Sus scrofa: one gene and its partner. The protein of the gene in region 2 interacts with the protein of the main gene of each other region in a biochemical or structural test. Links are inferred from orthologs where the notes say so. Each region holds a gene or a part of one and is shown on either strand. Other genes may lie near its edges.

What was found.
Region 1: the proteins of CFH (region 2) and CRP form a complex in vitro, tested with the Homo sapiens proteins (12 studies listed by BioGRID and IntAct, with this or other methods). The link is inferred for Sus scrofa from reciprocal best matches to the Homo sapiens genes CFH and CRP.

Annotation. Positions count from the first base shown.
Region 1 is NC_010446.5:90,781,355-90,785,674, forward strand, and holds CRP (C-reactive protein), read left to right. Parts: upstream 1-1,386; 5' UTR 1,387-1,587; coding exon 1,588-1,651; intron 1,652-1,895; coding exon 1,896-2,509; 3' UTR 2,510-3,697; downstream 3,698-4,320. UniProt on the Homo sapiens protein: Displays several functions associated with host defense: it promotes agglutination, bacterial capsular swelling, phagocytosis and complement fixation through its calcium-dependent binding to phosphorylcholine.
Region 2 is NW_018085100.1:2,467,293-2,471,544, reverse strand, and holds the start of CFH (complement factor H), read right to left. Parts: upstream 2,842-4,252; 5' UTR 2,503-2,841; coding exon 2,445-2,502; intron 1-2,444. UniProt on the Homo sapiens protein: Glycoprotein that plays an essential role in maintaining a well-balanced immune response by modulating complement activation.

The DNA of each region.
Region 1 (4,320 bases), on a different chromosome or scaffold from region 2:
TCAAATTAATGTTCGAGTAGGTGGTCTAGAGCCGTTATAGCGGTTCCAGAACCAATTATCCAGGCTCCATCTATCTGCCAGCTTCAGCGTGCATCTTACCCACGGTGGTCAAAGGTGATATTCTAGCTCCTATCATCATGCCTCACACCAGGCAAAGGGAAGGGAGAAGTGGAAGGTAGAGCAGATGCCTTCACTTTAAAGGGCACAACCTGGAAATCATCCCTCTTACTTCTGTTCATATCTCACTGGCCAGAACATACTCACATTCTCATTCCCAGCTGCAAGGGAGGCTGGGAAATTCATTGGCTAGGTGACCATGTGCCCAACCACCAATGCCACTCTTACTGTAGGAGAAGTGGAGAATGGACACTGGGGAGCTAGAAGCCCCTGCTACAAAAGGTATGGTCATTCTTCTCTGATGACTTCTATTTCTCAATAAAGAAAAAGTGAATGCTGGGAGTTCCCATCGTGGCTCAGTGGAAACAAATCTGACTAGTATCTGTGAGGATGTAGGTTCAATCCCTGGCCTCACTCAGTGGGTTAAGGATCCAGTGTTTCTGTGAGCTGTGGTGTAGGTTGCAGGTGCAGCTCAGATCCCGATTTGCTGTGGCTGTGGCTGTGGCCAGTGGCTGCAGCTCTGATTTGGTCCCTAGCCTGGGAACCTCCGAGGGTGTGGCCCTCAAAAGACAAAAAAATAAAATAAAAAAAATTTTGAATGCTGAGTATAAGAATGGATGAGATTTGGGGGTAAGAAGAGAGGAGGAGAAAAATAATCATCCTGAAGGGTGATTTCAGTAGGGAACGGTACTAAGATTGCCAGGCATCATGGAGAAACTACTTGAATTTTGTGAATAAAGGAAATGGCAGGGTCAGATCATCCTGACACCTCCCTAAACCCTGACATATTGAGAAAATATGAAGACACATTGGCATATGGTATATTTGTGATCAAGCACATGTTTCACTGCACCAGAGATTTCTTAAAAATTAAATTCAATGCGCTAAGAAAAATTTGTCCTTGGCTCAGAAAATGGCATGTTTGTTTTCAGCATTTCCCAATCTGTCAACTAGAGGCCTCTGTAAAGGGTGAGCCATGATGGTCAGCTCCAGAGGCTCTTCGCTTTCTTCCAGAAAACCCAATGACCCAATGACTTGGGCTGAAGAAGGTGCTAGAGTTGCAGCTATCATGTGCAATCAGATGGCTATTCTTCTACTAAGATAAGATTTTCCATTATTTCACAGGATAGACAGCCAAAGTGGAGTCCTTGGAGAGCTTCTTCATTTCTCCTGTCACAGAGGTGACTCAGTAGTCACAGGAGTTTGTAATAAATAACCCACATCGATTTCTCTGTTCTGGAACTATGTTGCTTCCCTTCCTCCCAGAGCCCTGACACTGCGAGAAGCAGAATTGGAAGTCATTTACATAGTGGCACAGACGCTTCTACTGCCTTGGGTATAAATCCAGGCAGGATGGGGCAAGTCTTGAGAGGAGGGATCTAGGACTTCTAGTCCCTGAGCTTTCAACCAAAGGCATCTTCTCCAAGGGGGTGAATCCATATTCTGTTACCACTGGCAGCAGAGAGTGACATGGAGAAGCAGTTGTGGTGTTTCCTGGTCTTGATCAGCTTCTCCAATGCTTTTGGCCAGTCAGGTAGGGGCTACCTGGGGCTATGCCAGCGATTTGATCTGAACGATGAAGGTGAAGTCAGAGGAACATCCAGCCTAGACGAGTGTGTGTGTGTGTGTGTGTGTGTGTGTGTGTGTGTGTGTGTGTGTGTGCGCGCGCATAACTGAGGAACAATCAGTCTATTTCTCAAGCCCAAATTCTATATGTAAGGAATAGATCTTTGTGATTTGAGAAATTTCTCCTCTCTCTTCTGTTTTCCATCTCACAGACTTGCATAAGAAGGCCTTTGTGTTTCCCCAAGAGTCGGATAATTCCTACGTGTCCCTGAAAGCGCAGTTAAAGAAGCCACTCAAGGCCTTTACCGTGTGTCTCCATATCTACTCAGAACTGGCCTCAACCCGTGGGTACAGCGTTTTCTCTTATGCCACCAAAAAACAACCTAACGAGATCCTCATATTTTGGTCTAAGGGCAGAGGATATATTCTTGGAGTGCGTGGGACTGAGGTATTATTCAAGAGTCCTGAAAACACCGCAGCTCCGACACACATCTGTGCCAGCTGGGAGTCCGCCTCTGGGATTGCAGAGTTCTGGGTGGACGGGAAGCCCAAGGTGAGGAAGAGCCTGGAGAAGGGAGCCTCCGTGGAGGCAGAGGCAAGCATTATCCTGGGGCAGGAGCAGGACACATTCGCTGGGGAGTATGAGAAGAACCAGTGTTTGGTGGGGGACATTGGAGATGTGAACATGTGGGACTATGTGTTGTCACCAGAGGAGATTAGCACTGTCTATGCTGGTGGGACCTTCAGTCCTAATGTCCTTAACTGGCGGGCGCTGAGTTATGAAATGAGTGGCGAGGTGTATGTCAAGCCCCAGCTGTGGCCCTGAGGCCATGCCGCTGTGGTCCTGGAGGTGTTTCCTGACAGTTGCACTCTGTGGTTCTAGACTGGCCCCAGCCCCTGTACACACACTGCAAGCCAGCTCTGTGAACACAGGCTCTCACATCCCTGCTCTACCCTCCTCAGTGCCAGAGAGGGCATTCAAGTGTCTGGCTTGGGAGGCTGTGAACTACATTGAGAAGTTTTGGTTTTGGTTTTTGGTTTTTACAGCAGGATCAGAATTGCAGGTGTGTTTGGTTCTGTTATTGCTATTTTTTTTTTAAGTTGAAAAAATCTTAGAGACAATACCTTTCCTTCATGTAGATGAGAAAATTGGGACCCAGAAAGGAGAACTGATTTTTTTTTTTTTTAAAGTCACAAGGAGAATCTTTCTCTGAGTTGAGAAAGGTGTGCTGTCTTCTACCTAATTTCCTACCCAAGACTTCCTAGAAAGTAGGAGGGACTTGCCCTTCCATCTCAGAGTTATGACATTGGGCCAGGTCTTTGGAAATGGGAACTCCTAAAAAAGACAAAAGACAAAAAGGAAAAAAAAAAAAAAGAAATGGGAAACCTAGCAATACTGTACATTCTTCCCATTTCTCAAAGTACCCCAGAAAGGCAATCAGAATGGCCCTAGTAGAGAAGACCTATCTATTTCCCTAGACAAAGTGGAGCATTTAGATGTAGCTACCGTAATTATTAGTGCCAAGGTCTTACAGAGCCATGTTTTTTGTTTGCTCACAGTGATTTCTTAATTTTGTGGTTCTTTCGGGAAACTCTTCTCAAACTCCACCTTTTCCCCAACATACCCAGGCCACAGAGTGGCTGTGACCCACGCTATCCTAATAGAGTAGCCCCAATCCTATTTGGAGATTGGGGGGGATGATTGTATGTTCCTGGAAGGACCAATTTTAGTCTTCCCAGGATTGTTTTATGAACTTTGGGAGTGAGACATCTTCCTGCTGGAATTCCAAGCTATGAGGGTATTAGCCTGAGATCTCCAAAAGCCATCTCATTTAAACATGGAGAAGGAATATGAGGAAAGAAGCCAAGCTGGGACCAGCAGAGCCAAAGGACTGACAGCACAGACAGGCAGCTTTGACTGCCCCATTTGAATTTCTGAGTCACCCTTGCCCAGAACCAGATCTGTATCTGGACGTCCCAACTTACTGAACTAATAAAGCCCTCGTTTACATTAGTGAGTTTCAGCTGTTCTTTAATGGTTGCATTTGAAGCGGTGACCAACTTTTCTAATGATCCTCTGAAACCAAGTCCCTGTGAGTTCAGACCTGCTGTTACCTGTCCTGCAATAACATACCTATTGGCACTCTAACCTCTCCTAGAATCTCCTATAGGGATTCTCTCTGATGAGCATAGCTTCTCTTTTGTGATAGCTGATCATTGATGTGAGGTCAAATGTGGGGGTTTAAAAAGCTCACTCTAGGGAGTAAGAGGTACACATTATTATGTTCAAAATAAGCTGCAAGGATATATTGTACAACATGGGGAGTATAGCCAATATTTTATAACTGTAAATGGAGTATAATCTTAGGAATGTGTCTCACTACATTGTACACCTGTAAATTTTATAATATTGTACAGCAACTATACTTGAATTTAAAAAAAAAATCTCTCATTCAATCACTATTCTAGTTTGAGGAACAAAGACTAAAGATCATTGAGATCCAAGAATTCGCTAATTCCCGTCGTGGCGCAGTGGTTAACGAATCCAACTAGGAACCATGAGGTTTTGGGTTCGATCCCTGGCCTTGCTCAGTGGGTTAAGGATCCGGCGTTGCTGTGAGCTGTGGTATAGGTCGC
Region 2 (4,252 bases):
AGGGGTTGTTATTCTAAACTTTGTAAATCTGACCAGATTCTTAGTAGCCTGGGGTGACTCTCCAGCCGTGCCTTTTACAAAGAAGCAACTCATGTTCCATTTCTATACAACTAGAAATGTTAAATGCAGACGACCTACTGTATTTAAACTCAAAGATACTAGGTCTCTAGTATCTTTTTAAAAAGGGAAGGAAAGTAGGCAATTGAGCTTATAAATTCTATCATGTTGACCTCTAGTCCTTTTTGGTAGCAAGTAGTATTTTTTGAGGAATGTTCACTATGCACAGCACAGAGACCATTTATGAAATGCTGAGATGCTGTAAGTATCTAGTTGAGGAGAGAAGACGCTGATAGTGTACACAACTGTCTTTTCTCCGTTTCTCACTTTCAGCATTCATCTTCCATTCAGTATTTCTCAGCCTCTATCTGTATTCCATCCTTATTTCTACGCGGGAGACAAAAACAGAGGCAGACGTTGACATATATATGGATATTTTTAATGATCAAGGCCACTCTGTTGAGTAAAGTTTCTGTGAGGTTGGGCTACAACGGTGGAACTGATGGGCATTTCAACGAACTTAGTTTCAGAAATATTTGGTAAATGAGGAATAAAATAGCAGTTCTATATCCAGTGAAAGGTGATATAATTTTTTCTCTATTAGCTTGTGCATTGTGTGTGCTTTTGTGAAAACTATGAGGCTCATAATTTTTGTGAAAATTATGAGCATTTAAGTGTTGCTTTAAATACTAAAGTTATACTTTAGGAAGTGGTCAGATTTATGGCCATTCTCACCATTATGTGTGTAGCACTAATGCCCAATTCACCAGCAGAAAACTGATGTCACCTTTAGACATACATTGATGAAATGTAAAAAAAAGCAAGTGAAATTAGCGGGAATCAATTAGGTAAGTGAGACGTTTACATCGCTATTATTAATTTTTTTATCACTTATACTTTGTGGTGTCCAATTTTAATCTCTATTTCAAATATGACTTTGTCATCACTGAAACAGTGTAACTAAACTTGGCAAGGATTCTTAGTTTTAAACATGACCAAGAAACAAAAGAAATCTTTTGTACATGATAAATGCAATCTACATAAGACCTCGGCAAACAATATGTTAGTTGTGAGGCACTAAAAGCATTCCTAAATTCGAGAAAAGACAAAAACACTTTAAAGAAAAGGATGTCTGCTGAGATTGGTAAGATTAACATTGTTCCAGAACTCTTTGCCAGTACAATCATACTTTGGTATATTGTGTCGTAATATCAGTTAGTATTATTTGTAACAGTTTTATGAACAGGGAAATGGCTGTATACCTAGTTAAGAAGGTGGCTGGATATAAGATTTACATGCTAAAAATCAAGCAAGAGCTTATTGTCATATATAACTGAAAAAGGCTCTATCTTTCAAAAAGCATTGAGCACATTTTGGAAAACCTAAAATGAAATTACTAAAGGATATAACTTAAAAAATATATCCGTCTTTATGTTTTAGATTGAAAGTCCCTCAAAGACAGACGTTTTGTTTTATTTGTTAATATTCCTCACTGATTAGAGCCTGACTTGAAAGAGTCATCAATCAAAATGTATTGATTTGGTGAAAAATATTGGAAATTTATAATGATAACATTTAAAAAGTCCATCAAATATTTACTACACAATTAGTTACCTATCTTGAACTAGGAAATCAAATTTCCTCCAAGAAGGAACTATTTAATCCATTAAGAAAAGGTGATAGAACTAAATTATCCAGAAATTGTCTTACTGATATTAGAAACTCCTGCCTACACGCATAGTCACTACTAAAGGTTCTTCTAGGATAGCTTATACATAGCCATAGGGCAAAAAACCCAACTGAGCTACTTTTATAAAGGTTGCATAGTCGATTTTTTCAATTTCATATATTTTCATTCTAATGATACAGGTGACGCTCATCTCCAAGACTTTTAAGGCCATGGCAATATCAGTTGTAAACGATAAATAACTCTTTCTTTAGGAAGAGTTAACATCTCTATCTGAAACAACTCCAGTCACTGTGATTTGAAGGCTTTGACTGTCTAATTTATTTTCTGGTTCTATGGATGTTCACATAGTTCTCAGTACTTCTACACAAGGCATTCGGGTGAAAATTTTAAGCAAAAAAGAGTAAACTACACTTTACGATAATTACAAAGGCAATGATTTTGACATCTTACAGTTTTAAAAAATATTTATTAAAACATTTTCTGAAATTTCACATTAAAATTATGAGTAATCAGATATGCCATTCGAATAAGCTGCTTATCTTTTTTTAAACTGAACAGTGTCAAAAGCCTCTCACACACTAAGCTGCAGAACAGTAACTGGATCACATTTTCTAGACCAAATTTTTATCACCAAAAACCCACGCTAGCAAATGTCAGCAATATAGAAAAAAAAAGTCTTCTCTATTTTCACTCTTACCTTCTGCAACACAAACAGTCCACAATATTAGCCACACAAACTTTGCTGGACATCTCATTTTGGGGACCGTTCAGGGTACATCTAGGAGTTGAGTGTTCAACACTGTGTCAGGTTCTGCTCTGCTCAAAACTGTGAAAAGCGCAGGAAACTATTTGCTGCAAAAGGAAACTGAAACGCAGCTCTGGAATTAAAGGGACTGCTAGATGCCCCGCCCATCAGCAACTTCTGCAGAGTGGGGGAAAAAAAAAAAATCAGCGGCAAGCCCCAGCAGGGCCAGTGTTTGAACCTATTCTTCCTTCACTCCCACTGAAAGTTAATGCTGTGACCTGCCCTGGATTTGTTTTCATAAACCCAGGCGTGGTCTTCGTCGGAAGTGTGCAGGTGCTTGGAATGTGCTGGATCTCCAGTTATTCAACCCCCACGCAGATCTTTTGTGCGTAAACCTCAGAAGATTTTTAAAAAGTAAATAAAAGCTCTTTTAAAAATCATTTACAGAACCTGAGGTTAGGCAACACTTTCACAATCAAGACCCAGGCAACAGGAAAAAACTTTGCCAAGAATGTAGTGCTGGCTGCTTTGGGGGCCGGCTTTTCCTGAAAGTTCATGAAATTAATCTTTAGAGGATTGTGATAAAAATGTGTGAAGCAATAGGCTCAGTCTCCTTAGGCATGAATGAGTTTAGTCATTCAAAAATCAAGAAATTGAAATGCTGGGTTTTCTAAACTTTGTATTGAAATGCAGTATGCATAAAAAGACTCTAAGGGAAGACACACATGGTAAAAGCATCAAGGCCAAGAACAGCACTCTCTCAGGAAAGCCCCAGACCCCCTTTCAGTCACCCCCCCGCCTCTCCCCCTCCCACACAGCTGACCACAGGGAATAGATGTGCTCAGGTTTGTACTTTGTGTACATCAGATAATAAGATATTTATTCATTTGTTCTTGAAGCCTCCACTAAAACTATGTTTAGATTATTTAGCCACACTGTTGGATGTTGCTAGAGATTATTAACTCCTTGCTGTATGATAGTCACTTATTTGAATATACCACATGTATTTATCTGTGTGCCTGTCGGTGGGCATCTGGGTGGATTCTAGTTCAGAGGTGACGCTATGAAAATTATACTATAGTGTTTTCAGTAAACACGTCCTCATTTCCGACATACCTAGGAGTGGAATATTAGGACATGAGGGACGAATGTGTTTAGGTGTAACGGGTTACACCAGACATTTTTCCAAAGGATTATACTGACACTCCCATCAGCAAGTGTGTAAGTTGGTCCACACCCTTAGCTCGCTCACTGAAGTTTTCTGTCTCTGTAACTTTAGTCTTTCTGGTGAGCATAAAGCAGGGATTCTCTGTGGTTTTAATATGAATTTTCCTGATGAGGAATGAAGTTGAGTCCCTTTCATGCCACATTTGGTCCTTTAGCTGAGCTGCAGATGGTCTAAGCAACTGCTACTCTGATTTCCCCTTCATCAAACTTCCACTGAGTTGGTTGACACTACAGGCTTTAGAGGACTCAGCTAAGAAGTCTGGGAGAGAACACACTTGGTTGAATGCTAGCGAGGTATATTTTGCAGTCACACTTGTATAGTGTTTGGTAACTGGTGAACATCCAAGTGTAAGAATGGTTTCTAGGAATACTCCTATCACCCTCAGGCCAGATCAGCTGGCATCAGGGCACGAAGATGCAGGGCGGAAGACGTGGAACTTACGGCTACGTTCCAAAGTGCCTGGCACCAGAAGTATGTGGGTAATGAAGGAAAAACCATTCTTGAAAGTATGGTCACAATCATCAGAAGCGTA